Linked DNA regions of Lepisosteus oculatus. The protein of the gene in region 1 interacts with the protein of each later gene in a pairwise test. Links are inferred from orthologs where the notes say so. Each region holds a gene or a part of one and is shown in the gene's direction. Other genes may lie near its edges.

Evidence for each region.
Region 2: the proteins of atxn1a (region 1) and nlk2 interact in binary tests that used the Homo sapiens proteins (3 or more experiments, as listed by UniProt). The link is inferred for Lepisosteus oculatus from reciprocal best matches to the Homo sapiens genes ATXN1 and NLK.
Region 3: the proteins of atxn1a (region 1) and pom121 interact in binary tests that used the Homo sapiens proteins (3 or more experiments, as listed by UniProt). The link is inferred for Lepisosteus oculatus from reciprocal best matches to the Homo sapiens genes ATXN1 and POM121.
Region 4: the proteins of atxn1a (region 1) and 14 kDa phosphohistidine phosphatase interact in binary tests that used the Homo sapiens proteins (3 or more experiments, as listed by UniProt). The link is inferred for Lepisosteus oculatus from reciprocal best matches to the Homo sapiens genes ATXN1 and PHPT1.

Annotation. Positions count from the first base shown.
Region 1 is NC_090705.1:39,523,489-39,530,986, reverse strand, and holds the start of atxn1a (ataxin-1a), read left to right. Parts: upstream 1-4,489; 5' UTR 4,490-5,088; intron 5,089-7,498. UniProt on the Homo sapiens protein: Chromatin-binding factor that repress Notch signaling in the absence of Notch intracellular domain by acting as a CBF1 corepressor. Binds to the HEY promoter and might assist, along with NCOR2, RBPJ-mediated repression. Binds RNA in vitro.
Region 2 is NC_090721.1:8,929,364-8,937,144, forward strand, and holds the start of nlk2 (serine/threonine-protein kinase NLK), read left to right. Parts: upstream 1-4,764; 5' UTR 4,765-6,292; coding exon 6,293-6,753; intron 6,754-7,781. UniProt on the Homo sapiens protein: Serine/threonine-protein kinase that regulates a number of transcription factors with key roles in cell fate determination. Positive effector of the non-canonical Wnt signaling pathway, acting downstream of WNT5A, MAP3K7/TAK1 and HIPK2.
Region 3 is NC_090721.1:492,934-500,354, reverse strand, and holds the start of pom121 (nuclear envelope pore membrane protein POM 121), read left to right. Parts: upstream 1-4,405; 5' UTR 4,406-5,071; coding exon 5,072-5,622; intron 5,623-6,033; coding exon 6,034-6,249; intron 6,250-7,081; coding exon 7,082-7,249; intron 7,250-7,421. Other genes in the region: hip1 (huntingtin-interacting protein 1), read right to left, coding at 1,007-1,123. UniProt on the Homo sapiens protein: Essential component of the nuclear pore complex (NPC). The repeat-containing domain may be involved in anchoring components of the pore complex to the pore membrane. When overexpressed in cells induces the formation of cytoplasmic annulate lamellae (AL).
Region 4 is NC_090704.1:8,541,519-8,548,405, reverse strand, and holds 14 kDa phosphohistidine phosphatase, read left to right. Parts: upstream 1-4,663; 5' UTR 4,664-4,734; coding exon 4,735-4,876; intron 4,877-5,521; coding exon 5,522-5,646; intron 5,647-5,979; coding exon 5,980-6,072; 3' UTR 6,073-6,385; downstream 6,386-6,887. UniProt on the Homo sapiens protein: Exhibits phosphohistidine phosphatase activity.

The DNA of each region.
Region 1 (7,498 bases):
GATTCATGTACAGGTAATAACTTAGAGAAACTGCATTAAAGCAAATCAGGATATCAAGTATATAGTAATGTGCAGTAATGTAAAGTAACAGTACAGACCATCCTTTTAAATGTTCCTCTTCAGTACTACAATTGTGTAAATTGATGACCACACCACTTTCAGCTCTTCGGAACTTTCATTAAAAAAAAAAGTTTTTTTGCATAAAGACCAAAACAAGGAAGTTATGACTAAAATTGTATCCTTTCCTTAGATTCTTGGCATGGCTCAGAATGGAAGGGGAAGATTCCGCAGAGGAACCATAAAACAGGAGCCTAAGACTACATCTGGCTGCAGCTCCAAGTGTTGTTTTTTATAGGCTCTGAAAAGAAAAAGAAAACCGATGTACGTTCATAGACCACCATTACTGCCAGTATGTACTGTCCTGGGTAAAGGGGTGTCTCTGAATATACTGTATAACAAAATGTGAGAGATTTTCTCCAGCTACAGTGCAGCTTTAAAAAAGCACATTCGCTCTGCAGATAGTGAGCGTTGTTTGGAATTGACAACGTCTCACTTCATGGTAGTTCTTCAGTTTCCTGTAGTATTTTTTCTTCTTTCCCACAAAACAGTGAAATAAAACATGGCTGTCATAACATCACTCTCCTTGCAGTATTTTCCTGACTGAAAATTTGAGGATGTGGTCATTATCAAGGATGTTTCAGTACTTCGTGATATGAAATCGTTAAATCATTTAAATCAGCTGTCTCTTTATGAGAACCCACTTTTATCAGTTTCACGTTGTACCTTAGTGTTATGTGAAGCCTTGATTCTTAAGATGCTATATTTATTACAAGAACTGCCAAATTTAATTAGGCTAGATGACAAGCAAAAACAACCTTGTATTCTAGAAGGGAACTACCTTGCTTTTACACAGAATTCCATATGTAACAGGCGAACCTTTTGAAACACTGCTAGTTGTTAGAACTGACCCCCAATTCCTGCCATCTGTATAGATGAAGCCCCTATTAAATGAAACGTATCCTGGCTGTGTTTGCTTTAAGAAAAATCTTTGTTCTCATACTTTCTGTGTTGTACAGTAAATAATTTATCATCCTCTTTTTGTTGATTGAGAAAGGAGAAATTCTTAAGGAAATTACACACATATGATGAAATCACGGATGGTTGTGGTGTTAATGTCATTAGTATGCGTAATGTTGTTCTTCAGAAAGATGAACTGGGGACTATTTAAGGTCACGATTTCAAAGATTGTGAGGCTTGCCATGCAAGTACCTAATTTCTGATGTATTTGATTGACAGAAATTTGTCAGCAACATCACTGTTTAGGAAATACTTGATGGTAACAGAATATTAAGGAATTCTGGTTCCCTACCAAAGCAACAATGCTAGAATGTCTTATGTGTATTCTCTCAGGCCCAAAGCTTATCACATTTGAAAGACCCTGCCCCTAATTCTAACCCTGACTCTTTGATAGAAGTCATCAACATCAGGAGTCAGAGTACAGAATGTATTCAATTCGTATTCTTCTAATATTCAGTTCAATATCCATTTGTAGCCACTTCTGTAAAGTGGGATTACACAATCAAAATAACCTTTTCAAGTTGCATTTTGTTTTCTAGAAACATGTGATGCAAGTAGGTGAAATAATGCATCTCCTCTTGCCTCTTGAAATGTAAGGCTTTATTGTAAATATACAAGCTCCAGACAATCCGTAGTATTTTGCTGTTTTAAAGAAACTGTTATTTAGGACTACTGTCTGTGATCAGCGATCTCTGTATCTACAGCATACCGTTAATATTATTTGTTCAATATCAGTAGAAGCCGAGCTGTGAAATTGGAAAATGAATGCTGGCTTTCTGTGTGCCTTTCATTGTCTAATATACAGCTGCTCAGGACTTGAAATGACGATTCCCTATAGTGGGCAAGAGTCTAACTACTGTACCTCTCTTGGGAGATGCTGACAGTGCTAGTCCTCACTTCACTTTGAAATGAGCCGGGACAAATGTCAAAGCTACTTATCATAATATGGGTATGATCCACCACCACCAGTGCAGCCCCACCTGGATGATGCGACGGCAGACATAGTGCGCCAGAACGCTCACCACACATCAGTGGGAAGGAGAGCAGAGTAATGAAGCCACTTCATAGAGTAAGTACTCTATACCGTAAAAAAAACTATTCATACTGTAAGACAGTAAAACAGAAAAAAACTATTTTTCCAGCAAGCTCTTTAGCAAACCCCAGTCCCCAGGATACTGTATCTCTTAGTTTATGTAGTAGCTGAGCTTTTAATTACTTTGACTAATTGATTCCTTAACTGAACAGTTTCTTAATTAGATCTAGACCCTGTTTGGGCTATTTTCTGCACTCAGTCATGTGTTTCAGAAATACCCTGCTAGTTGTCAAGATATTTAGCAAGCATCATGTGCACAACATTTTCCAGAAACTGCTCTTCTTCTTCACCTCACTAAACATCTAAGCAGTGATTTTAGTGACATAAGGGAATTGTGTAGTACCATGAATTCCCATGGCAAACATTAATTTAGGCCAGAATTTAAAATAAATTGAACTCACTTGTCAGTCCCAAATAAAAACTCTACTTGATATTGTGCCACAGGAGCTCCTACTGTATTTCCTCTAACAGGGAACTTGCCGTTAGATATTCTGGTTGGTTAGTGGTGATGGGTTTGAGATTTTAACTTTTGAATATAATTGGGCTTTAGTGTCACTTGATCTCAGTGACTTAAATTCCAGAGGCCCGTTCAGTTAATAGAAACCCCCACAGAAAAAAGGGGGTTCTGAAAACTAGATTCTGGAGATATCACCAGGATCTAAAAAGATGAACAACACTTTCCAGTACATTATTGATCTATTGAGCAGGGCATTTGTCTAAAGGGACTCTAGTCCTCAAGGACTGAGTTTTTTTGTTTCCAAATGATTTCTAAATTGAGCAGATTCCATCTTTTCAGTCATCAGTTACGTCCCATGTCGATGCCATGCTGACATGTAAGACTGGATGGGTAGCAACTCTCCAAGAACAAGGCTGGAGACCCTGAAGGACCAGCAAAGCTTACACATCACAGTCCCGATTAATGACTTTCTTGACTAATTTACAATGGCTGCTTTATCAAAATTAAAATGAGGATTCAACTGAGAATCCATCATAAAAAAAGACCAATAGAGAAACCTCAGACAGCAGTGCTGGGTAAATTTTAAGTGCTGAAAGCAGTTAAAAACATTTAAACAGTCAAACCTTCAGCTAAAGGGTTACATTAATTAAGTCAGATAAAAACTCCAAACTCCTTTCAGTAAAAAGTGTATGTGAAATCCGACAGCAAAGATACCTGAACCTGCAGCTGAAATGTCATACAACTTTGCAATAGAGTAGGGGCCAGCTTTTATTTTTCTACCTACAGTATATTAATGATGTAAATCCTGACAACAGCTCTTCCCCAGGTTGGCTGTGTATTTAATCAGTTCACAGGCGTTTCATAGGCGGTTTTACTGGAAGATGCTGCTATCGTAGATGTTAGCATTGAACTTGAGGATGGTCAACTGTTAAGAGTGATCTGCCTTTGGGGGAAATTTGGTTTCTGACTTTTCTTCTACTCAAGTGTGGGCCTGCTGGACACTGGAGTCAGTTTTCAACAGTATTGTTCTTGAAGGAAACTCTTTTTCAGGGTCTAAGGTAATAGATCTCAGTCCCATGTCCCTTTCTTCTCATATGGCTTGAAAATTGATTCATGGAATTAAAAATACCAGTCAGACATATTGTTTGACTTGAACAGTACAGCAGTTTTGGAGGTGCCTGTGGACCAATGTATTTTCCAAGAACAGCTCTTAGCCACAGGCCACAAGAAAAATGTGCAATTTTACTTTTTAAAATTTTACAGTTAGAGACACTGTAACTTTAAGATTATGACCCAAAGCATAGCTTTGCTCAAGTGTTATTTAGAAATTAAATATATGATTTTATTGTCACAATCAGGATTTTCAATTGTCCGTTTTGCTTTTTCGACACAATAGACTGCTCACCTGATGGCTGGTGTTTGTTTGTTGTTTCTTTTAAAGACTAACAATTTGGAATCGGTCAGTTATGAAAATCCGGAAATATTGACACAGTAGAACGAAAACAAACATATACACAACATATAAACATGTTCTTCTTTTGTAATTTAGCCAGGAGAAGAAAATGTTTTAAAGCTATCTTTATGTTTGGAGTGCAAACAAAACCTATGCGCTCGATGTATTTTAGAAGAAAAATAATCTGGCTGTAATGATGTTTATCATGAACATAGTATCCTTGACTAACCACCTTTTTTAACCGATGGCATTTGTCTACGCAGCACCTAGTTAGGCGTGACTTGTCACATTTCAATGTTACTTTTTTCATGCGCTGAAAGGAGTCACTTGGTTAGGAGTTAATACATATTGTGACTTCATGCAGATCACAGCGTTGAATGAAGTACTGTAGCAGTGTGGTTTCTGGGCTTCTGGGCGCCTTACTAGAAGGTAGCGAGTTGAAATCCCGGGCAAGCCAGCAGCTCCTGTTCGACTGCACTAAGGTGCCAGGGCTTCGCTCGGGATAAAAGCTAACACCACCTGCATGCACCACGACCGCTTTCCCCGAACGAGACCGTAAACTTCATCTTGGCGTCTACGAAACTGTGAGAAACCACAGCTGTCCACAGAAAACAAAACGTGGTGGGGGGGAACAACACGACAAAAACGTCCGGCGGCGAAGGAGTTAAAGCTCTCCGTAACTCCGTGTGGTGTGGGTATGCCTTAATCCGCGACTCCTGGCTTCGTGCCAGAGAGCGGCTTCGCCTCCATCCCCTCCTCGCATAGTGAAGGATCCTGGAGCTATTGCAGAGGCGGCCAACTGCTCCATATTTGGCTTCTATTACACATTCACAGAGCGAGCGAGCGAGAGAGAGAGGTGGGAACAGCGAGCGACACAGAGAGAGCTAGCCTCGCTTTGCTGCAGACATCCTTCTAGTAGTGGAGAGGAGACGGACCCGCCGTCACTGCAGGAAAACAGCCCTGGCAACAAGGAAAGGCATTGCCCTCCTCAGACCATTACACCGTACAGTAAGTCCCGGCGATTTATTTAGCGTGATGTCTTGCCTCGGGAGCCCCCGGCTCCGTCGCCGCTTCTCCTCCCCAAAGAAGTGAGGAAAATGGCTCTGAGGAACTAGGAAGGGAGACGCGATGGATCACAGTTGGCGTTGTTTTCTCTCTCTCTCCCCCCCCCCACCTTCTTAAAAAAAAACACCAACACCACCACCACCACCACCACCAGAAAGGAGGTATAACTTCTTACGCAGAGGAAAGGGTCTGGGAAAAATTTCGCCCCGGGCGTCCTTGGACGTGCACTGCGAGGCGTGCGCCCGTTCGCTGCGCTGCGCTGCGCACCAGGCGGCGGTGCGGCGGATGTTGCGAGGCGCGGTAGCCGAGGAGAAGCGCACTGAGCTGGGGCTGCTGTCGGACCAACTCTCGCGTCTCGCTGCGTCACTCCACTTCCTCTAGCGGGCTCAGGACGCATTACAGAAAGCACTTCCTAATCGATGTGTCCATAGTGTGTGTGTGTGTAGTAGTACAGTAATCCACGAGATAAGCGTGTTGTTTCTAGTTTTATGAAGCGGGGTTTTTTTTTTATTATTGCTGGGCAGCTCTTTCCAAGGACAGGCGTGTGGGTGCGTTGCGTAAATGCAACACTCTTCTGGGTTGAAAGAAATGTAACTCTTTTTAATAACCCTGTTACCTAGAAATGTTACAGTAGCTGCTTCTAAAGAAAAACAGTCCACAATTATGAGCTTCATCATCCCTGCATTACGATTTTTTCTTAAGGGTAGTCTTATGCGTTATATTATTTGGCCCATGCCCAGAAATGTATATTAGTTTAACACCACTATGCCTTTTGTATCGAGGTTATAGTAAGTGTAACATTAAAGAAAACAAACATACACATATTTAGAAAATACATGCCGATTCACTATGACGTTTCTTAAATACACCCAAACATAAATTAATTCGGTTTAAATGGACATTTTTTCCCCCGTTCCTTACGGCTAGTGGTTGTTAAGTCTTGCCCGTGATGTCATGTAACCCAGCTAGCTATATTGTTATATAATAGGCTGCTGGGATCTCAGCGTTTGCAGGCTATTTATACTTTGTTTACAGTAACGAAAGGCTGTGTGCATTAGGGAATCCTTTTAAACCGATGTGCTTTTGCAACTTCTGCTCGGGTACTTGCGGATTTGCACGCTACTTGCCTTAGCGTTGGTCTTTAGAGAGGGGGGAGACCGAGAAAAACCACCAATTTATCGCCGTGCTGCGATATATATTTTGTAGTAGACTAACGAGGCAGGTTCTCCTCCCTGGCATCTCGGTGTATTCACAATCTGACATTAACACGAACTGTCTGCATTCGCAAGTTTGTTTTCGTGACGCTATTGTACTGCTTCGACGTTACCAGCACTGGTGGAGGTTTGTGAAGTCGCAAAGTTGAGGTCCGTCTACATTTTTAGGCGGGCAGCTCTTGTTCGACGTTGAGATCTTTGAAAAGGTGAAAATAATGTCTGCAGAACTGGGATATACAGTACGTGTGTGGGGGGGAAAAAAAGAGGCACAGGGCTCTCGGTATCCTAGCTCTGGCTGTGACTGACAGTGAGCTCTTCCGATGCTTTTATCAGGAGCAAATTAAACTTCCCCCATAGTGAAACATTGCCAGCCGCGCTCTGCACTGAATGGAAGGAGAGTATTAGAGAGGACTGTTGTAGACCGAGGCTGATGGCCTCACCGGAGCTTTGCTTCAGCGGCATGGAGATTTCCAGTCCACAGTGCAGACTGGCGGCGCTCTTACTTCAGCCGTGATCAATCAAGCAATTAGATCGGGCTGCTATGGCAACAGACAGTATTTATTCACCCATTCAGGTGTGTTTGCCTTGTGCCGGGCTATGTTCTCCAGTTTCACGGGCACTGCATAGTAATCTTCGCTTGCCGCCAATTTCTTTAGTTAACCGCTTGAGGTTTAGTTTTGTGATTACAACACTGTTACTATAAGGCCACTGCTGCTGCAGATAATTCCAATTACGTTTAAATTAAGAGAATTATTCTTCGATCAGATTAAAAAATAACGTTCTTCTGATTAACCTTTACAGCATTTAGTTTATATCACAGTTGGGCATCACTGCACGGATTGAGAAATTGCGGATGAGGTTTTTGTATTTGTAAAATATGGAATCAAGGAGAAAGGTTTTCTAAGGGTAAAGACATTTTTCTGCATGGGTTATTGCACAGTTTTATAAAGTGAAACGTTCTTTTTTGTCAAGGGGACAAAGCTGTGGTATAAGCTAGCATCTAACACATTTCTTGAAGGCTAAGGAATTTATCTAGTGTTGAAGTTCCTGAAACAATGCATGCACATTATTCAGGAGTACACCAGAGGAACTGCTGTCAGAACTCGGACCCACAACCTTGCAGTTACAAGCCCAGGGCC
Region 2 (7,781 bases), on another chromosome or scaffold:
CGGAGGGGCCCCTTTGACTGAGTTCCAGTTGTAAATCTTCTGTATTAATCTGAGCCTTTTTATTACAGTACCAGTCTTCAGACAAGAGCCATGCTGTCTTTGGAAAGTGTGCCACTAACACATGGCAATGCAAGAGATCTTTAACCCTTTTCTGAGTTTCGGCAGTTTGAATTGGGTTGAGATAGATAAATAAGACTTTATTGATCCTGAAGGGAAATAAATGAATGACATATGCATGACTATTATATTTAATGAGTATGTGTGACATCAGAAGACACTAGAAGGACCTAAATGCTTCCTGTGAGTATTTATTGTATAAAAGCTGAACAGTATGCACCTTGTGAAATACTTCCTACTGTAAATTTGCATGGCTTTACAAGATTGTGTATATCTGAAATATGCACTGTTTACCATGATTTCTCTGTGCTTTGCTACACTTTGCTGAGTGGTTTTACAACTCACAATACACACTTACCTCTTGTCTTGCATACACTGCATATAGCCTAATACATCTGTAAAATGGGAGAGTGTACAGTATCAGGTTCCTAGGACCATGTCTGCCACCAAGTCTGACTTTATACCACCTGGAAACAATGCTTAATTTGCCTAATTAAAGAATTGAATTAGAACATTCAATAACAAAGCACGTTGCAACAGGAATATAAAAACCATCAGCTCCTTCACATGGGATTCGAGTGCCCCTGGAGTCCGATATGATTGAATGGTCAAATCCAAACTCACTTTTTCCTACTTGACAGCGCGCCTGAGCAGAGCACAGAGATGGAGGGGCTTGGACCTGCAGAATGAGCTGATGGGTTTGCCAGCAGAGGAGGCATCAGAAGTAAAATGCCAAACTCAGGCGGTCTGAAATATTCCAGGCTTGTGGCCGGAAGAAAGGTAATTAAATGAAAACCAATCTGATACTCAAAGCAGGAAATAAATAATGGGGTTCCTTACGAATGAGGTGAAACTGAATCAGTAGGCAAGGTGCTGTTTGTCAGGGAAGTCCTTGTGGTGATCTCCCCTCCTCACTGAGCCCTGGTCAACACATACAAACCCCAGCCTAACTGGGTAAGAGCATCTGATTCATCTCCCCCTAATTCCTGTAATTTAAATGCACCGCAATTACTTATTGATTTCAGACCCCTCATTTCATTGTCCATGTATGACATATTTAAACGAGGAATAAAGAACTTCAGACTTCTGAAGTTTTGCTGTTAATATGACTTTATATATGAATATACTGTACCTGCAGAATGCGCCTCATTTCTCTGACAGTTATATTTTTGTCCAAGGAAATGAATAAACGCCAGATTAGGTGCTTTAACAAACAAATAGAGTAAATGCACCACATATTCTGCCAATATATAAAATGCCTGTTAAAAGAAAATGACATTGAAATTCAAAGAATCATGTGCTATGCCAGTAATTTACTTTGTAAAGTATAGATGGCTTACAGTCTGTGATAGGGGTGATTCATAGAAAGGATTCTTACTTTACAGGAGTTCCTTCTATGGTGATTACAGTAGTGTTAGGAGTTCCTCTGGGAAACAACTTACATCTGAAAGTGAAATATGCAATGGTGATAGGGTTGGGAGTCCAGAGGAATACGCTCCAATGCTACGAGAACACTGTGACCCAATTTACCCTCGTCAAGAGGAATCATTAATTAAGGTAATTAAGAGGCACACAAGTAAAGGTCGATGCCATTATTCGGATAATTTATCACCTTGTCTTTTACGCCTGTGCCACTCTCCTGAATATCGGCGTGCCTTTTTCGCTCCAGTGTATAAATCAGTGCAGGAGCCACAGAACCCCATAGCCCCAGCCGAAGAGAGTGGGACTGAGGCAAAGTTTCTGGAGCAGGCTTCAAGCACACAGGGAAAGCAGGCTTTGCGTTAAAGAGGACAGTGCTCTTATTTCGAGGTTGGGCTGGGGATGAATTAATTGTTGATAATTAGTGCATCTTAAAACTAGAAAAAAAAAGAATTTCTTTGGGCTGCAGATCTCTGGCGTAAGTGGTGCCAGAAGCCTGGGTTTCAAAGTCTGTTTTGCTCTCGGGTTTTCCGAAACCCACAGTGTGCACTTGAAAAAGGGAACGGTTTAGGAAGATCTGGGAATTTAGGCCAAGTTGACCAGAGTCTGCAATGAAGGAAAAATCTTTGAATGTCATCTATCAAGGGTGTTCTGACTCTTCCAGTGAAAAAATGTTATACCTGAATAATGAATGAATAATCCACAACACAGTGAATTTAATCACCAACAGAGACCCATTGTAGGCATGTAATAATAATTATTACAATTATGCTTATATATAGTTTTCTGGACACTCCACTCAAAGCGCTTTACAGGTAATGGGGATCCCCTCCACCACCACCAGTGTGCAGCCCCACCTGGATGATGCACCAGTACACTCCTCACACACCAGCTCTTAGTGGGGAGGAGAGCAGAGTGATGAAGCCAGTTCAGAGATGGGGATTATTAGGAGGCCATGATTGGTAAAGGCCAGGGGGGTATTTGGGAAGAACGTTTCAATATGAGACGAACTGGGTTCCCCCCTGTATGTACAGTAAAATGCTATTTGGAAACCCTTAGGGGTGAAAAGCATCACACAAAATGCCTGGATTTATTATCGCTGTTATTATTAGAGAGGATAATAGGATTAAAAGTCTGGTGCATCTCCGTTGTTTCCTACTGACTGAGCAGGGCGAAAAAAGAAAACAATTCAGCAGCCTTTGTTTTCCAGTATGTGTGACATCAGAACTCTTTCTGTCAGTTGCTAACCTGTTCCCAGTTGGTGGCAGGAAGGAACACAGGGAGGACAAAAGCAGTTTGATGGCAGATGTATACAGGCACAGGACACCGGGCTTCGGACAAAGACCTTGCAGGCCTAAATCCATCTCCTGCGACTCCACACCCCTGGATCAGGTCATAATAGGCCCGAACTTCAGTCTCGTGACGTGGAATGCGCAGCTGGTGCCCGCGCCCTCACATTACCGCCAAACGCTGACCAGGAGAGAGCAGCTGGGCGGCTCGTTCGATATTTGAACACGCCAGCGGCAGGAAGGTAGATAGATAGATAATGCTTTATTAATCCCGTAGGGAAATTGATGAAGGTAGCCCATTTGCCTTCACACCGCTGCTAAATCTTGCAACCCAGTAAACTAACCCTCACCCCCCCCAAAAAAAACAAACAAATTAATATTTAGTTTTCATGCTAATGCGACACGTCATGTCCAATAATGAAACGTCTCAATCTTTTTCTGCGCCTACCACCTGCTGATGTTGTGAAGTAATGCTCTTTTCGTTCGGTTTGCAAAATATGACCGGGGTATTTTCCCTCAAATTTATTCTTATTTTGTCATGGATTCCTCACCTTACCACTCCTGAAGGAATCCTCCTGTAACGACTAGCCAGACAACCAGAGAGACGGTGTTTCTACCCTACCCCACGGACAGGTCCGCCGGCACTATCCACAGGGCTTTCATGGGAGGACAGGAAGTAGATCGCCAGGCCTCTCTTCCGCGCAGACAGTGCGAGTGTTGTTGCCGTTGTCACGGATATGTGACCCTCCAGCACCAACCCAGCCCCATACTGCTGCTGCCCGGTATGGGTTATTAGAGAACCTCACACCTGACGTGGGACACAAACCCACTTCCCTGAGATTATGAGCGTCATGCTCTACCAACTGAGCTACCCAGGGCTTCGGAAATCTATAGGGGTGCCTTTATTTTCGACAGTAGCACAACTCTGTTGGATACACAGTATCACAGTATTTGTGCAACAAAGCTAATGTATTCTGCCATTTATTCCCTGCTGATAGTGCCAACACTTCCACTGCATGGAATTTTAATGCAGGTCCGAGTGTTTTCCTGTGATGATGTGTTGGAATATTTTTGGAGGACTAACCCTGTGACTGCCTCCCTCTTTCAATGCATGGGGTCCATTTCAATGGACCCTATGGTCTGTTTTAATGAGAAGGCATGCTTGCAATGAGATGGTAATGGTCTCTTCACATAAACAAAACGCAACTGGGGAATTTGTGGTTTACCTGCAACCAGAACACAAGAGGAGAAGTGGAGGTTTTATTTGTTTGCAAGGCAACTCGTGCAAACACCTGTTCGTGGTAGTACTCCTCAATGAACCCGGGATGACCCTGTGTATTACCATTCACTGCCATGACAAACCGTGGACACCAGGGGGCGCCAACACACACTTGCTCTTATTAAGTTGACCTCGCGTGTGGGGCGCATCATCTTTTGTATACGCACAGGAATTCGGCGTCTTAATTATATTTTCTCATAAAGGCCCCTTCTCTGCCTGAGGTAACCAGAAGATTAAGATTTTAAAATCCCTATACAGCACGCCTCTAACAGCTAGCCGTGACCGAGCGAAAACCCCAGTCTCGTCTGGCTGCGTCAACAACGATTGGCTAATCTGACGGAGACAGGAAAACTCTGCCCTTGGCGTTCAATGATTGGTGTACAGTCTCGTCCATGACGTATTGAAACTGCGCTCACTCCGCCTGCCATTTTGGATCCACGGGAAGGCAGGCGAGGTAGCGCTCCGCACGAGTCGCCTTGAGCCACAATGGCGGCAGTTTCGAGAGATTTAAATCTCTCGGCCCTGTCACTCCAGCTGCCTCGACGCGGAGGAGGCACACCTATTGGCTGTCACAAGTCACAGTGTTCCTTGCCTGCCCTCTTATTGGCTGGGAGGCGCCGATGACGCGGGCAGTGGGCGGGTCGCCTGAATCTTAGGCGGCGCGTGTCTTCCTCAGTGCAGCTAGCGCTCTGTCCGGCGCAGGGGAGACGGGAGTGTGGCGGTTTGTTTTTGTTTCTACGGCGGAGCCGGCCTGGGGTGTGTTTTATTTGAATTTTTTTAATTTGGGGGGGGAGGTTACTTTTGTTTTCATGCTGTGAAAGCGGTGTGTGGGGGGGGGGGCGGCAGACAGGCTAGCAAAGCCGGCAGAACTGGACGCCCATGGAGAAGATAAGTTGACTGTTCCGTGCCTGGGGAAGACTTGCTTTTCCTTCGCAGCCAGGGCGAGAGACCTGGAGGGGGGGTTATTCACGAAAATGATCCGGATTTCTGGAAACACGGGGGCGCGGAAATCGCCGTCGTTTTAAAAAAAAACACAGTAACGGGGGGAGAAGAGATAGGGTGAGCGAGGGAGAGCCTCCAGGCCGGCTGCCCCCCCCGCCAACCCCCCGCCGCCCGACTCAGTCTCAGCCAGACCCCATCTTCTCGGCTTGTGGCTCCGCTTGCCTTCAACAACAGACCCCGCTGTCGGATTTGCTGCTGTGCAATTCTGGTTTTGTGTCTCCAAGAGGAACAACAACAACAACAACACCGGCACCCCCAGCACAAAATCTAAACGAGAAATAAAAGCGGGGCGAAAACCAGATCTCTCCTAGAGACCGGCGAGCCGACATCCATCCTCCCAACTTCTGAAACTGCGCGCAGCTGCCTGGCGCACAAGTGCGGCTGTAGGAGGAGAAGAGGAGGCGGCGGCGGTGGTGGCGGTGGGGGGTTTGATCCAAAGGAGTCAAAAATGAGGAAATTAAAAAGATGATTGCCCCCCACCCCGTGTGATCCCGGAGCCCGGCTGTTTCGTGCCGTGAGAGGGGCGAGATCCTGCCCCCCGGGAGGAGGGAGAGACAGAGGGGGTACCCCGGCGTCCACAATGAGGGAGTGTTGAAGGCCGTTGCGTCTGTGTATTGTTGGGGTGGGTGGGTGGGGGGGGGAGAGAGAGAAACGGGTCGTTCCCCGCCGGAGGAGTACCGTTTTGAGCTTTTAATCATCCTCTTTTCGTTGTTATTGCGTGTGTGTGTGCGCGCTATCTCCTGGAGGCCGGGCAAGGCAAGGCTGTGTCCTCGCTGCCGCTGTCCCCCGGCCGGGACGCTGCTGGGCCGGACCCGGGACAAGTCGCCCCCTACCCCGGGAAGTGGGTCAGGCCCCTCCTGCGTGGAGATGAGGTGCCGGAGAGAGTGAGCCGTCCTCTCAGACAAGCGATGGCGGGGCTCGAGCTTATTTAATTTATTTTCCTCACTTTTTTTTTATTTTTGGATTTTTTTTCCCCCTTCCGTGCCTGGTGGGGTGACAGCCCAATGCCCGTCTGACCACCCCCTCGTCCCCTCTCGCCCCCTCTCCCCCCTCTTCCCTGCTCTCCATTCACCCTACTTTTATTTTTCGTCAACAAAATTAAAAACACACACACGAAAATACTACAAAAAGAAGGAAGGAGAGGGGTGGCTTTTCTTCCCGGCTGGTCGTTTGTCGGCGGAGTTGAATGGCTCTGTGCGGGACCACGGCTACCAGCGCCGCAAAAATGATGGCCGCGTACAACGGCGGCGCCTCGGCGCAACACCCGCACCACCACCACCACCAGCTCCAGCACCTGCCTCCCCCCCACCTCCACCACCACCACGCCGGCCAGCACCACCTGCACCCGGGCTCGGCCGCCGCCGTGCACCCGGTGCAGCAGCAGCACGCCTCCACCACGGCCGCTGCCGCCGCCGCCGCCGCGGCCGCCGCGGCGGTGATGCTCAACCCCAGCCAGCAGCCCTACTTCCCCTCGCCGGCTCCGGGACAGGCCCCCGGCCCGGCGGCCGCCGCGGCCCCGGCCCAAGTGCAGGCCGCGGCCGTCAAGGCGCACCACCACCACCCGCATTCGCACCACCTGCCGCAGCAGCAGCAGCTGGACATCGAGCCGGACAGGCCCATCGGATACGGAGCTTTCGGAGTGGTCTGGTAAGAGCTCTCTGGGTCACCCGTCCGCCTTGTGCTCAGGGCAGCCCCCCCCAGGCGCGGTGTCACATGGGAGGCAGGGGTCTGCGCCTGGTCTTCCCCGGACCGCTTCCGAGAAGGTGCCAGGCGGGAGAGGGGCGGGGTGTAAGTTCTGCTTAAGTAGCCTGGCGGTCTGAGTTATAGGAAAAAGAAAATCGCTCGTTCAGTGTTCAGATCTTCCAGAGAACGGTCCGGCGTGAACTTGCACCTAGTTAACACTGTGCTGATGAAGCTGCGCTCTCCAGAATCGCTGGGGGAGCCGGAGTTAGTTGAGCGGGGCTGGGGGGGAGTGTTAGCTCCGTTTCTCCTGCGAGTTCAAAACGGGACCTGCCGAACCAACCGGAGAGAACAGCTGTAGTAATCTGGCCAGGCGGGGATGGAGACCTGTTTCTCCTCTCTCTCTGGGACGTCATTCTACCACCTAGGGCTTTCCTTTCTCTTCTTGTCAGCGCGACAGGGCTTGCAGCGTTGCTGCATGATGATGTCAGTCTGGCAGTGCCAGTGAAATGGATATTTATAGGTGGTGGTTGCAGTGCCCAGGGCTGAGAGCACACTCTCTGGCACCGTTCTGCACACTCGGTAAAACTTTCAGATGGGTCTGGCTGCTGTTCTTAACTAGGGAGCTGTGTGGAGACGCTATCGCCCTCTATTGCAGGGAGAGCTGTGCCCATGCTGCTCTGGACCTGGGGTCGTAGAAAGCCTTTGATTCTGACGCCCTACTGATACTTATTTCATCCACATTTTTTCATTGCTGTGCTTTAAGTGCTGTTTTGTTAACGGGAGAATTTCTGGAGTTTTGTTTCTATGAATTTAGCTTTGATAGGAAATGCTGGAAACCTCACATGGCTGCCGGTGGGATCTTTGGAGAGGCTGGCCCTTTTGAAATAGGTTTTTGTCCTGTTCTTCTCCTAATGGCTCTGTCTGTTCAAGCTCATAGGCAATTAATGTGTTCATCAAGCTCTGGACCAGCTTGACAGATAAATCGGCACAGC
Region 3 (7,421 bases), on another chromosome or scaffold:
TCAGAGGGCTAGAGCTCCGAAACAGCCCCTCCAGCAGGCCGCGGCTCGCCAGAAAAACGAGGCGCAAAGCTCGTGAGGACACACCTGGTGATATTCCAGCCCTTCTGCTCTCGGCTCAAATTTACGTGCGCAGCTCCAGGGACCCGTCTGGGCCACAGTGCCCCTTCACCCTCTCACACACACAGCTGGCCCAACCCCTGATCACCCCCTCGCCCCCAGACAAGCGCCCACAGACTCTCAGCACCAGTCAGGCAACACCCTTCTGCAATCCCTTCATATCAGGGATGCCAGATAAACGGTTCCCTTTTCTCCTATTAAACCCAAACACAACCATTCAATCACCTGCACTGTGCACACTGTGGCTTCTAAAGCCAGCAGCTCAGTTATAAAGCCCAGGGATCGTGAATAACTAACTCGCCAACATCCCGGTCCGTGCGCTTACTTGTAAATCAGCCCTTCAAGCCGCTCTGACAGCTAATCGCTACGGCCAGCTGACGGATCTCACAAGAACAGGTTAGAAGTCGTCAGGAACAGATATCGGAACTGACAGCAGCCGAGGAAAGGCGACGGCCCGTTCTCACACGGTCACTTGAGGCGAGTTTCGACAAAATCAAGCCGTATTGGTCCGAACCGAGGGCTCTGCCCGGACGCGCCCGCTCCCCCAGGACCGCTTTCGCGAGTGGCAGGCGGGGTCACCTGAATTTCCACGCCGGTCCGAGGCGCGACAGAGCACGACGCCGGGCCGGAGGGGCAGGGCCGGAGGGGCAGAGCCGGGGGGGGCGGGGGGGCCCCGCTACGTCACTCCCCGGCTCGTGCCCCGCGAGAGCCGCTCGAGACCGGCTCGAGACCCGCTCGCGGACGCCCGCCGCGCCGCCTTTCCCCGGTTGGGACTGGGACGGCTGGGAAATCGCGCTGGGAACCTGCCGGCCCTCGCAGGAGGCTGCCCTGCCTTTTCCTCAGGACCCGTTACACGGAGGACCGCAAGCCCCCCGGGCGCCGCTCCTACCTGGCTGCGCTCGAAGCTCTCCCGCTCCGCGTCCAGGCTGCTGGCGCCCGCCCGGCGGCTCAGCACCTTGGGGATGGGGTTGGGGACCTGCTGTATGGAGCTCTTCACCCGGTCCATCGCGGCGGGCGGCGAGGACGGAGTGCTGTTTTAGAATAGCACGACCAGGCAGTGAGGGAAACGTCCAAGCGCCCCGACGAAGTTTCTTCGCCACTCTGTAGTTCACAACTCTCCGCCCCGGGAGCTGCCTTCCAGCCTGCCTGCCGAACACCCCCAGCTCGCCGAGGCGCACCCGGCGCAGGCCCCGCCCACACTGAAAACCTGGCGATGTGATTGGCTAGTTTAATACAGTGGCCCACCCATTGCTCGTATTTCCGGCTTCTTCTTGGGCGGTCTCGGCGTCAATCTTAGTTTAGCCCCGCCTCTGGGATGATCGGAATGTCCATCGCTATAGTCCCGCCCAGAACCCCCCTCCCCCTTTTACGACACCCGTTCTTCCTGACGTCCAATTGGTCAATTTCCACATCAATCACCCAGCTACCCCGCCTTCCAGAGCTCAAATCTTTTACCTGATTGGTTGTTGACCCAGTTAGTCACTTGCGTCTGGGGGAAAAAAAAACATTGGGGAACCATGTCTCATTGCAGTCTTAGGTTAGTAAGAGCTCTACTCAATAACATCCCCAAATTGTGCAGAATGTTCTATAAGTATTTTAGATAAAATGTGGGATTCTCTGTACGTTTCGGTAGGTTTCCAGTAGGGGAAAACTGCTCCCTAATGGCGTGGCGCGTTGTTGTCACGCCCTTATCCATGACTTTGTTTACATTGCCAGAGTTTGTGTACCGGCTGTAGATGCGGGTCCGTTACCGAGACCGGAGGCACTGTCAGTCTGACACGCTGGACACGGGCCTGTGTCCCGACACACCCCCTGGCGGCACCAGCACATCACTCAGTTCAATACCCAACACGGCTCTCGGCGGAGTCACCCAAACACGACCCAGTCTTTATTGTACCGAGCATATTCCTGTTCGCTGCGTCATCTTAAGCATCGCTGATCCCGCAACGGTGAGGGTGATCTTTAAATTGAAATGCTATCCGTCCTGATTGCGTTTCCTGGTCGGGCGAGGGAAGGACACTGATGGAGACAGTTAAAAATAGTCGCACGGTATGCTCCGGAACTCATTCCAGAATCCACTTGAGACTTTTTTGCAGGATTCTGTACTGTGTATATAACCATGTTTTATGAATCAGGTCGCTGTCAAACAGTTTTGCATCAGTTGTGAAACTTTCATTTCCGTTCCAAGTTTTTTTTTTCCTTTCTTTTCAGTTTTTTCCCCCTTTTCTATGGTCTGTAAAAGTTTCCTCCTGTATTTGTCTAGAGTGGCCCAGGAAGGCGCTGCTTTCTGGGACTGAACCTGGCGGGTCCTGGACTGGTCCTGGACGGCGCCTGAGCCGGCCGGGTCCTGGACTGAACTCACCCCGGAGTCCTAGCGGGGAGCGCGGGAGGTGTGTCCGTTGGCCTTCGGGGAGATGGCGAGAGGACGAAGGAGGGGTGGGCAGTGCGAGGTCGCGGGGCAGAGACAGGGCGCGCTCAGGGGAAGCGGCCGGCTGAGGAAGTGAGGTGTCCCCTCAGAATTTCACAGCTGGCTGACAGAGAGCCTCTCACATCCTCCCTCCCTCCCTCCTGGCGGCTGGCCACGGGCCCACAGCCGTCCACACGCCCCCCCACCCAGGAATCCCGGAATCCCAGCACCTGCTCCGACTCCACCCCCATCCCACCCTGTGAGTGTCCACTGTTCTCCTGGTCCTTCAGCCCCCTTCACACTGGGCTTTAGTGTAGCCCTGTGGTGGCCCCCCAGCCTGCATTGTGCTTGACCGTACCTCTGTGCCTCGCACTGTTCACACCGTGCTTCACCGGGCTGTACTACTGTACGGCTTTACTTCTTACAGGTGAACCAAATTGCGTCTCCTTGCACAATAAAGCAGAGGAAACGTTCTGTTTATCCGTCTTTCACTTTTCCAGAGTGGAGTCATCTTCTACACGTTCAACTGCCCACTCCAGCCTCCAGCGCAAAAAAAGCCTTTTGACAAACAAAACCTTTTTGTCCTCACAAAAGCACATCTAGGGCTCTTCAGTAGCTGGAACCTTTTCCTCCCCTCGGGACAGAACAATCATTTCAGCACCGTCGTTCTGCAGCAGGCCTGTGAAAGGTCCCGCACGAGAGCTCTGGAAATCCTGCGGGATTACAGAACAAAAACCTTCAAACACTGAACCCAGAAGGATTGTTTGCCCATTACAAGCATTCAGGGTATGTACAGGAGTCCCAGAGGATATGGCTCCCCAAGTCCTAAGAGTTTCATTTTTCAGGACTGTCTTGTAGGTGAAGTTATGGGAGTTCCCAGTGCCCACACTCGCACTTCTCTCTAGCACGTTGAAGGAAGAAGGGAACGTTTTATTGTCCCATTAGAGGACAGCTGTCCATGTCACTGAGCCACTATACAACCCAGTTCAATGAGAATGATTTGTCAAAATACAGTGCAGCGTAAGGAAACATGGATACTGTTAAAGTTTGTTTTTGTCTGGAACGCAAATTCTCCTTCTGAATTAAGAAAACGTAAGAGCATTGCAATTAAGGCGAGTTGAACTGCTTAGGATTTCTACAGCAAACGTTTAATTTGGAGTCCTGTGGATGTGAATGTGCTGCTAGTGAATTTGATCCTTTTTGCTCAAAAACACTTCTGCCAGTAATTAATCTCCCATTTCCAGTCATACTCCTGGCTGCGTCCCAGGGCCCGAAGGAGAGAAAGTGAGACAGTGCTATCTGCTGCCTCCCCTCCAGCCATAATAAATCAGTGTCTTTGTTAGATCACAGCCCAGTGAGAGAGCACCGTACTGCAGTATTTCAATGTGTTAAGCTCCTTTAACATAGCTCTCAGGCCATGCTTTGGCCCCATGAGCACTAGTAGGGGGCCTGCTTACTTCAATTAACATGTAATCATCCCAGATTAGTGCTAAATCCTGGTCTGTGAAACTGCAACTCACTGCTCCTTACAGTATAAAGGCAGACTAAAGTCCACATAACAGTTCTCAGGTTTGCTGTGGTCCAGCAAACAGAATAGTTCTGCATCAAACCAGTGTATTATCTGGACCCAGATCTCTCTCAATGAGAAGAAATGAAATTCACATTTTCTGAGGCTGTAAATTTAACTTATCTCAATCGACTGACAGAAATGTGGGATATGCATGATAAAGTTAAGCAGTATCCTGGTAATTCCCGGGGCAAAAAGTTTCCCTTTGGAAGTAAGGTTACATGTTTTTTTTTGTGTTTGTAAACGCTTTTCCTGACACTCCACTTTACAGGTAATGGGGATCCCCTCCACCACCAGTGTGCAGCCCCACCTGGATGATGCGCCAGTACTCTCACACACAGCAGCTCTCGGTGAGGAGGAGAGCAGAGTGATGGAGCCAGTTCAGAGATGGGGATAATTAGGAGGATTGGTAAGGGCCAATGGGAAATTTGGCCAGGACACTGGGGTAACACCCGTAATCTTTTCGAGAAACGCCCTGGGATTTTTAATGACCACAGTCAGGACCTCGGTTTTACGTCTCATCCGATGGTCGGGGTCTTTTTACACTCGAGTGTCCTCGTCACTGCTGGCATAAAATATGAGTTTCACCCTGATCACACCTGATTCTCTTGAAAGTTATAATTCTAATCAGGGAAATTGCATCCTACAATCGTGCTGTTGCCACAATGCTTTGTAGTGCATCTGTCATGCGTGGTAGTACTGCTGCACCACGCAGTGAGAACACATGAAAACACTTTCTATGGTGCTGCGGTAAAAGTTCAAGAGGAATCCCAATATAAATAACCGACTTGACGGTGAATCGGCCGACGTGCAAACCCGCTTCGTCGGTTTAGGTGACTGTGGACAGAGGTCAGCCCCTGACCGGGCACAGGCCGGCTCCCGGCGCCTCTCCTGCCCGCCGAGCGAGACCGGCCCCCCCGCGCGCCCCGCGCCCGGCAGGATTATGGGATATTAAAGTCCTCCGGCGGCGCGCTGCCGCCATGTCTCCCAGAGAGAAGCGGCGGATCGCGCTGATCTCTGTGGCGCTCCTGGCTGTCGCGATTTTCTGTTTCGCTCTTTATTACATACCGACTTTCCTTTACGTCTTGTTCATCCTTGGAGTGTGCACTGTCGCCTGCTTCTGCCACGCCGGCGGCCCGTCCCAACACACCAGGCTCGGCCCTCAGCCTCGGCCTGCCCTGGCCATCCCGCCGGCGCTCAGACGCTGGTTGCCGGGCAAGACCGCGAACGGCGTGCCCTCGGCGGGCCGGGTCAGCTCCCGGGGCCACCAGGGCCGCCCCGGCAAAGGCGAGCTTGGGGATTCGGCGGCGCCCAGAGGCGAGCGGCGCTGGGAGGTCCGGGGCGCTTTTCAGAAGGAGGCAGAAGGCGGCGGCAACGGCTCGTTTGTGTTCAGCCCCCGGGACCTGCTGATGGGGAGCTACCTCAGTAAGGCGGACAGCCCCGGAGCCGGCGGGGCGAGCAGGGAGCTCCGGGAGAGGCTGGCTCGGCCCAACCATGCCGTGCACACCCCCAACAGGAGACTGTCATTCGGGTAAGACCCAGCCGGGCGAAGCGGCTCAACCTCTGTGCTTTGCTACTGCGGAGAGTGAGACGGCGCTGTGATTAAAATAAATCGGGTTTGTTCCTAAGTGCTACAGCGCCGGTCTGCTCGCCTCTGTTTAAAGCCAGCGGCGGGGTTTCCCTCCAAGATTTGAAAATGTGGGAGTTGCTGCTTCGCCGCGGTCCGGCCTCTCCGGGGGGGCTCGGCTGTCGGACCGGGCCGGCTTGGTGCAGCAGGGCTGGAGATGAAGTGCCCCGAGATGTTTGGGCAGCTGGAGCCCTAGGGGGGGGGCTCCGCGACCGGATAGGAAGTGGGCTGACCCGGACGGGCCGGACGCAGACGCTGGCGGGAGGTGCGAGCTGCGTGCGGTCCGGTGACGGTCTGTCGCTCTGTGTGCTGCAGGGACAGCCTGGGCGCGGCGGGCCGCTTCAGCATCACCCCCCAGCGGCACTACCCCCTTCAGCAGCCGGGCTGCCCCTCGCTGGGGCCGCTGCCCCCCGTGCAGTGGGACGGCTGCCGCAGGAAGAACGTCCTGACGCCACGCAACTCCCCGGCGGCGCGCAGCCCCGTGACGGTGAAGATCGCCCGGCCGGAACCCAGCCGGACCCGCTCCCCTCTGTGAGTATGGGCCTCTCCGGCGCCAGAGCCACTGCTGCCACGTGCTGTCCTGATCGTGGCCCTCTGTCCATTGTCATCCCATACAGTTCAGAGTTGCGGGGGAGCTGGGGTCTGTCCCTCCCTGTCTATACTCCCCTTCGCCACAGGACACGCTCGCTCTGCCCCCCTCGCACGCACGCTCGCTCTGCCCCCCTCGCACGCACGCTCGCTCTGCCCCCCTCGCACGCACGCACGCTCTGCCCCCCTCGCACGCACGCTCGCTCTGCCCCCCTCGCACGCACGCTCGCTCTGCCCCCCTCGCACGCACGCTCGCTCTGCCCCCCTCGCACGCACGCACGCACGCTCGCTCTGCCCCCCTCGCACGCACGCACGCACGCTCGCTCTGCCCCCCTCGCACGCACGCACGCACGCTCGCTCTGCCCCCCTCGCACGCACGCACGCACGCTCGCTCTGCCCCCCTCGCACGCACGCTCGCTCTGCCCCCCTCGCACGCACGCACGCACGCTCGCTCTGCCCCCCTCGCACGCACGCACGCACGCTCGCTCTGCCCCCCTCGCACGCACGCACGCACGCTCGCTCTGCCCCCCTCGCACGCACGCACGCACGCTCGCTCTGCCCCCCTCGCACGCTCGCACACACGCTCGCTCGCTCTGCCCCCCTCGCACGCTCGCACACACGCTCGCTCGCTCTGCCCCCCTCGCACGCACGCCAGGGCCATTTTTCCCAGAAGCCAGTTTACCACCAGCAGGAAACCCACATGAAACACACAAACTCGCACAAACCAGGTCCAGAAGGGTCTCCCCTTCTCACACTGTTTCTGGACTGGCTGCAGGTTTGACCGGCTGTCCTCTCCGCTGACCGCGCTGGCTCCTGGGCTGGGGGCCTCGGTGGACCCCTGCTCGAAAGAAGCCGTCCTGACCGCGCTGAAGGAGGGGCGCAAGAGAGAGGTGGAGGAGGAGGAGGGAAGGAGCTGCAGTGAGGGACAAGAGAGCAAGAGAAGGTGTGTGCGGTTTTCGTCCACACCCGTGACTGTCTGACAGGACTGCAGCTCTTCATGTTGCTGTCTCTCATTCTTTCATTCCATTGTTAACAGTCTCGGCCATTTTCTCCACCAGTAAACAGTTGTCTTCAAGTCGTGATGCCCTTGTGTGGAGTGCCCGGGAGGTGTTGTG
Region 4 (6,887 bases), on another chromosome or scaffold:
GCTAGCACACATTAACCAGATTATTCTTTTAAATCTGACATTTACAGCATTATTTAGATATATATAAAAACATGCTGGTGGAACAGCAGAGGTGTGGCCAGATCAGGGCGGTAGACACCATCAGAGCCTTGCAAACCCCAACCCTAAATACTGGTATCTACTGGCAATTCTAAGGTCCCACTTTGGGGATAGAGGGAGTTTATCCCAGAGAAGAGGTAATAGGCTAGTAGTGGGAAAAGATGTGGCGCTTTGTAATACGCAGGTGTATTGTATTTCCCAGTTGTTTCCCTAAACTAAAAATAAGACCACAATTAGATAAATGCAATTTAGAATATTAAAAACAGTGTATTAGAATACATTACGAATACTACAATGACTTGAAAATCCAGATGGATTCAATCAATTTTGCAATCAATTAAAATCAAGATGCAATCAATTTTGAAACTGTTTAATTACTCGATTGTGTTTGATTACTGATTGTGCTTTCGGTGGAACGTTAATTCTCCTTTATGGATTCTAATAGAGCCAAGAACTGGAGATGTCACTCCCATTCAGGATAACTGTGCATAATAAAAAGGGATCGTAACTCAATCACCACACACGTTACCCCACAATCAATATCAGTGTTCTAGTATTGAAAATTATATATATATATTTCATATATATATTTCAGTTGTGAAGATGTCATAACCAAGTAATATTTTTAGACAGATGTCAGAAGGGAGTTTAATCCAGTAATCTCACTGCTCATTACAGGAAAGGAAATGACCAGACAAAGTTTATACAACCAAACTGGCGCCTTTCCTACAACACAATATTGGAGAAATTCCACTACGTCTGCTGGGCTGAAAGTCTCTACATATATTTCCTGGAACACACTTCAAATTACTCTATACATAGCTATAAGCAAAATCTTCAATATTTGTATAGTAAAAAATATTTAGTACAATAAGTATATTTTATGCCACTAACTCAACACATTCTCTTTTTAAAAATTGGACATTAATATGCACCTTCAACTGTATCAAACTGTGTGTTATCATCTTGATGCAGAGCCAAGGCTTAGGTGAAACCCTTGGAAATTGAGAAAGGAAGCCTGTGAAACTCTTAATGTGCAGTATAATTATATTATAATGTCTGAAGACGAGAAGGATAAGTGATTTACCGATATAACTTTGTACTGGGAAAGCACCTCATGTAAATAGGAAATCCAGAGAGCTTTTTGCATGCGAGCCAAAGTAAAAATGCTTAATACTGTCACACGCTTCACCGCTAAAGTTTTGATTAAAAAACAATTATAAAAATAGTCAGCCCAAGAAATGACACCTTGTTTTAAATCCGGTTTATCCCAGTGGGTGAAGGAAAAAAAATTCTTTCAAATAACAGAATGCTGAACACATCAAAACGAAGGAGTCCATCAAACAAAGGAGAAGATACAGGAAACAATTCTTTCAATTTCACAGCGATGATAACAAACATCCCATTTCGCTTTCTTGAAAGATAAGACTTCAGTGTACTGTAGTTGTATTTAAAAATCCATTAATCAAAAAATATTATGTTCCAAAGAATTTATTACAATACATCTAAATTGTATTCACACTGTTCCGGTTAATCAGAGTTAAGGTTTATGTCATCTCGGCTGACAAACTCACAAAAGTGACACAATAAGTAAGACTTAACCTGATCAGTGTGTTTAATCATTAAGTGATGATGGAAAATAAAGATGAAATAAAGCTGAGATAGAGATGAAACAGCTATGGAATGAAGTGGAAATAAATAGGAATGGAATAAAGATGGAATTATACCTTCTGCTCTGAAAGAATATAAGTGAGAAAAAATATTTGAAAATAAATTAGATGTTTTTTATACATTGTCAAATGCCAGAAAGATCTAAATTCACATGGTCAACAAACAAAAGTGGCACAAGGGAGACTAGGTTTGAAACAAGGTAGAGAACTTTCTTTCTTTAAATTAAGAGCTACAAATGCACTATAAACTAATTGAAAAACAAAATCAAATGGAAAACATACAAATCTCGTAAATTCTTGGGACCAATACAGAGCAAAACATATAAGGGTAGTCTATGAATGGATTCTAAGAGCCCCATAGAACAACCACAATTCAGCCAACCCAGAGACTACAATAAGTAGGGACTATGCTTACTCAGGATTAAGACTTCGCTGTACTTTACTATATTTGACCATGGAAACACCATATAGACACGTTTACAATAGTGCACTATTGCACTCCTGGTGCAAAATGTTAGTGAAGTGTCACATGCAAGACTCCTTCAGTAAATGTGCCATGGTAAACGCTGTTAAGGCAATGGCTGACATGACTTTACTGCCTGTCAGCAAGTCCCACCAAACAGACCCATTGAAAGATGTAAACAACTCTTTCCTACTTTCTTTCGCAGCGCAGATATGACTAATTTTAGCATCGAGTGGGTTTAAATACAGTGGTTGTGCCTCAGTGGAGCTTCAGAAACGTTTCAAGTTCTGATTTCCACAAAGGAAATAATAAAGACGTGAGGGTGTTAGTCACACTGTTGCCATTCTAAAAGTACAGCCTAGCTAGTTACTGTTAATTCCAGCTGAAATCATTTCACTTTATCTGCACGGTCATTTGTCCATTGTTCTCTTCTAAATCGCCAAAATAAACGTTTGGATTAATTAGTCATTCACATTTTGGATTTTCCCGACTCAGGAAATGTCTGCAGGGGGAGAAGCTAGCTGTTAACACAGCTTCTGCCTGGGGCCTGCACTGCATATACACCTTGATCAGACAATGGTTTGCCAGTCAATCAGCAAATTATTATTATTTTTTATTAAATGAGGCAACATTTGAAGGTGAGCATTGTCTCTAGGTGCTTCCTTTTAGAAAACACACCAACAAAGCACAGTTAAGGTACCGAAAAACTTTAGAGAAAGCACAGGAAGGTCTCAAACCACAGATGAAAGACTCAACATAATGTATTTTTACAGGAAGCTTCTACGTTTTCAAGAACCTAAGCGTTTTTAAGCACCCTAAAAACATAGGATGGTGTACAAACTGGATAAACAAACACCAATCAGAAAGAGGTGGTTCGGTGAGAAAGAAAAACATTTTAAAAGAGGAAAGTCTGAGCAAATGATTTCCTTCCTAAAACATGAGATAACTCGACGTTAAATGTATATGCAACTTACATTTATGTAAAAAAAGACTCTTACAGTGTCATTATCAGCCAGATGGGTCATTAAAGTAAAATAAACAACATTATGAGAAGGAAAATAGAGCAAACAATGAAGGTGTCTTTAAACCATACAGTTTTAGCAATCCTAACTCTTCACAGAGATATTGGGTATTTAAGTACTCTGAACCTTTCGCTGATGCCTGCTCTCTTACTGTATGTCAACTTTCTTTACCCTGTAATTTCACCAAACTGTGATATCTAAGCCGGTAAACATCTTATAAATTGGATTATTTGCTTGGAAATGTGACACACAACAGCAGAAAATTGCTCAGCTTGTACTGTAGCACCACATACAATTGTTTTTACCAAATATGGGCGACGTCATAGCAGAACAGCTGTTATATAATTGTGCGTTATGAGGCTAAGTCTGCTATGAAATAATTCTTTATTGCAATATTCCCATATATTAATTCAAACAATGCTTTACATCTCTACAGGTTTCATCCATCCATTTTCTAACCAAGTCTTCCAACTCAGAGACACAGGGGAGCTGGAGCCTATCCCAGCAAGCAACGGGCGCAAGGCAGGGTACACCCTGGACAGGACGGCAGTCCATGGCAGGGCAGGGACACACAGACTCACACCAGTGCCAGCATTCCCAGAAGCCAATTCACCTACCAGTATGTTTTGGACTGGGGGGAGAGAAACCATAGCACCCAGAAGAGACCCACACAAACATGGGGAGGACACACAAACTCAACGCTGGTAGCACCTCAGGTCTGGAATTGAACCCGGTGCTCCAGAGCTGTGGTTTAGCAATGTGTCACTATGCTGCTAGATCTCTACGCGGTTTTTTTTACCAATATTTTTTCTTTAAGAAAAATAATAAATGCGCTGTAGATCTTTGCACTACATGTTTATCGTTGGTGATCTTGCAAAATCTCTAATTTCTATAAAAAGACTTGTAGAAAACTGGCCAACCTCACAACAAACATGACCTCCAAAGGCCTCTTAACTGCACCTTATTGTTGTACAAAGGGAAACGGTGAACTTCGCAGTATAGAGAGAACAGCATATGCGGAGATTTAAAACAACAACAGGAAAATAAGGGTAATATAAATGCCAGCTGACAAAGCAGACTTGGTGAAGTACGCCGCTCATTGATCAACAAAGAATTGGATTAGCTGTGCCTGATACTCCAGTATGGTGTTAAATCGCCTAGTGCAAGCTACATTTTTACTTTAAATCAAATTAAAAGTATACTGAAATATGACTTTATGAAGCACTTTGGGATAGTAAGACGATCCCGATTTTACATCGATAGTAAGATGATGTAAAGACTATATTATATGGTGGGAAATCTTACTGATTGGGGTTAGTGGATTTGCACAGTCTGACAATTTGACTCGTGATTGCTATGAACTTAAATAACTGTGTCGCTTTAAAGTTCATCCGTCACAAACACTGGTTTTCCACGTATGACGAAGCTCCACCCAGAATAACAAAAAGAATTGCCAACAGAGAAGCGGTAGTGAGCTGTTTTATCAGAACCGGAGAAGGCCATGGCTGATTTGTTGAGTAAAGTCTCTGATGTTGAAATAGACCCCGACGGAGTATTTAAATACATTCTAGTGAGGGTGAAAACGAAAGATGGGTCTCAGCACAAAGATATAGTGAGAGGCACGGCGAGTGCCGAGTTCCACAGTAAGTTCAGCTCGCTGGATGAGGTTACCTAAATAATTCGAGCGATTTACACGCCTCCATAAGTCCAGTGTTTGCAAGTGCTGGAGAATAAAGATTGGTTTTATGTAGCGTTAAGGTTATTATATGTGAAATATTGAAAAATATAGTGTCCTTCAGGAAGGAAAACTAAACGTTTTAAAAATAAAATGTGCCTACTCGCATGTTCTATTTTTAAATACCAAACGTAGCTTGAAAAAGAACTTCGTGACACAGGCATTTGATTGTAAAGTATAACGAGATTGCCCCGATACATAGATATAAAGGGGGTATACCTAATACAAGAAATGTTGCATTAAGAACATTTTTTATCAAGTTATGATTATGTATTTTCTTTTTTTTTTTTCCTTTTGTCCTAAACGTATACTATGCACTGTTTGAGTTATATGTATTTGAGAGGTTTGGTCATGTTCTGTATTCGTTTGTGATGAGTAAACACAATCTTAAAATATTGAAATTAAGTACATTTTAATTCGAAATTAAAGAACGAAAATCATAAGGGGTGCAAACGTCACCGAGACCAACATTGTGGGATGACCGCCACATGACCATAACTGGACCGAGATCGTACGCATGACCTAGACACCCACTTCTTTTCTTTCCTCACAGATCACATATTTGAGAAGGTAAATCCTGAGATGGAAAATTTAGGAATGGAATGCAGCTGTCTTGGAGGAGGGAAGGTCGAACACAACAGTAAAGAGAAGAAAATCAGGGTGTTCGGTCTTTCCACCGTAAGTTCAACCTCAACCCTTCCATTTGGACCCTGAAGTTTCATGTGCGGTCATAAAAGGGTTGAAACCTGCGATGGACTGTTGACCCGTTCAGGGTGTAGTCCTGTTTCAAACTCTGTTTCCAGGATGGGCTCCTGGTTACTGCAATTCTTTCCAGGAATAAACGGCATTCTGATAATGGCTGAACAGTTATTGCTTTGCTTTGAAAGCATGCAGTCGCAATTCCTTTAACTATCTGAAGACAGTTGGCAGAAAATGCTCATTCATTTATGCAGTCTTGGCTGGTGTAAAGACGCTTTTCCTTAGATATACAAAACCTTTTTTTTCTTTCAGGGTTATGGAAAAGCTGATCACTCCTTGACGGTTGAGAAATTGAAGGCTGTCTTCAAAGACTATGAAATAACCTGGTCTGATGATAAGAAATAGATTGAAAAAAATATACATAATAAAATATTAAGGATTGCACTAAACATATATCCCACTGTTTATATAACAGACATTATTTTCCCATGTGTAAATAAACTTGAGTGTCAGTGTTAGATGAATTATGATGTGCGGTATTATATCTTTAAAGCTAATAAAAATGATTCATACTACATGGGAAATTTTACCCCAAAAGTACAATGTACCCTTTTCCCTCATTACTAAGTTAAAGTCCTGTTAATCTGTATTGGATTCAAGAAGACAATCAAGTGTTCGGATATGATTTAAGACTGAAAAATAAATCAGTTCAAACAGCTCTGTTGTCCCCCTTGGCTGTTTTTAATGATAGTCTTGTCACTCGTACTGTAAGGAACCAGGCAGGAAACAAAACATTGAAAGAGATGAGAAATGAAAAGAGATAGTTTGAGAGAGGAGATCATCTGGCCCATAATTATTTGGTTGGTTGTACTGTAGGTGTCTGGTTGAAGGATCTCTCCCAGTCCTTTCTTGTACGGAAGCCTAGTGTGTGAGCTTCAATAAGATGACTGAGCAGCATGTTTCAGACTCCTACAATACTAAATGTAAGGACATTACTCTTGTTGTTAGTCTTAAATGCAGGTCTCTGTACTTTACAGTTCTGTCACCTGGTTCATGTTTCACGGTTAACCTTGAAGTCTAAGAGGTCTTTGTCAGTTTTCTGAGATTCTAAAAACTCGAAACAAGCCCAGTCAAAAGAGAAGGCCAAACATATTTGATTATTTTAACCTGTCAGTCTAGTGTTTAATTCCATACTTCATGATGTCGATGTTATTGAAGTT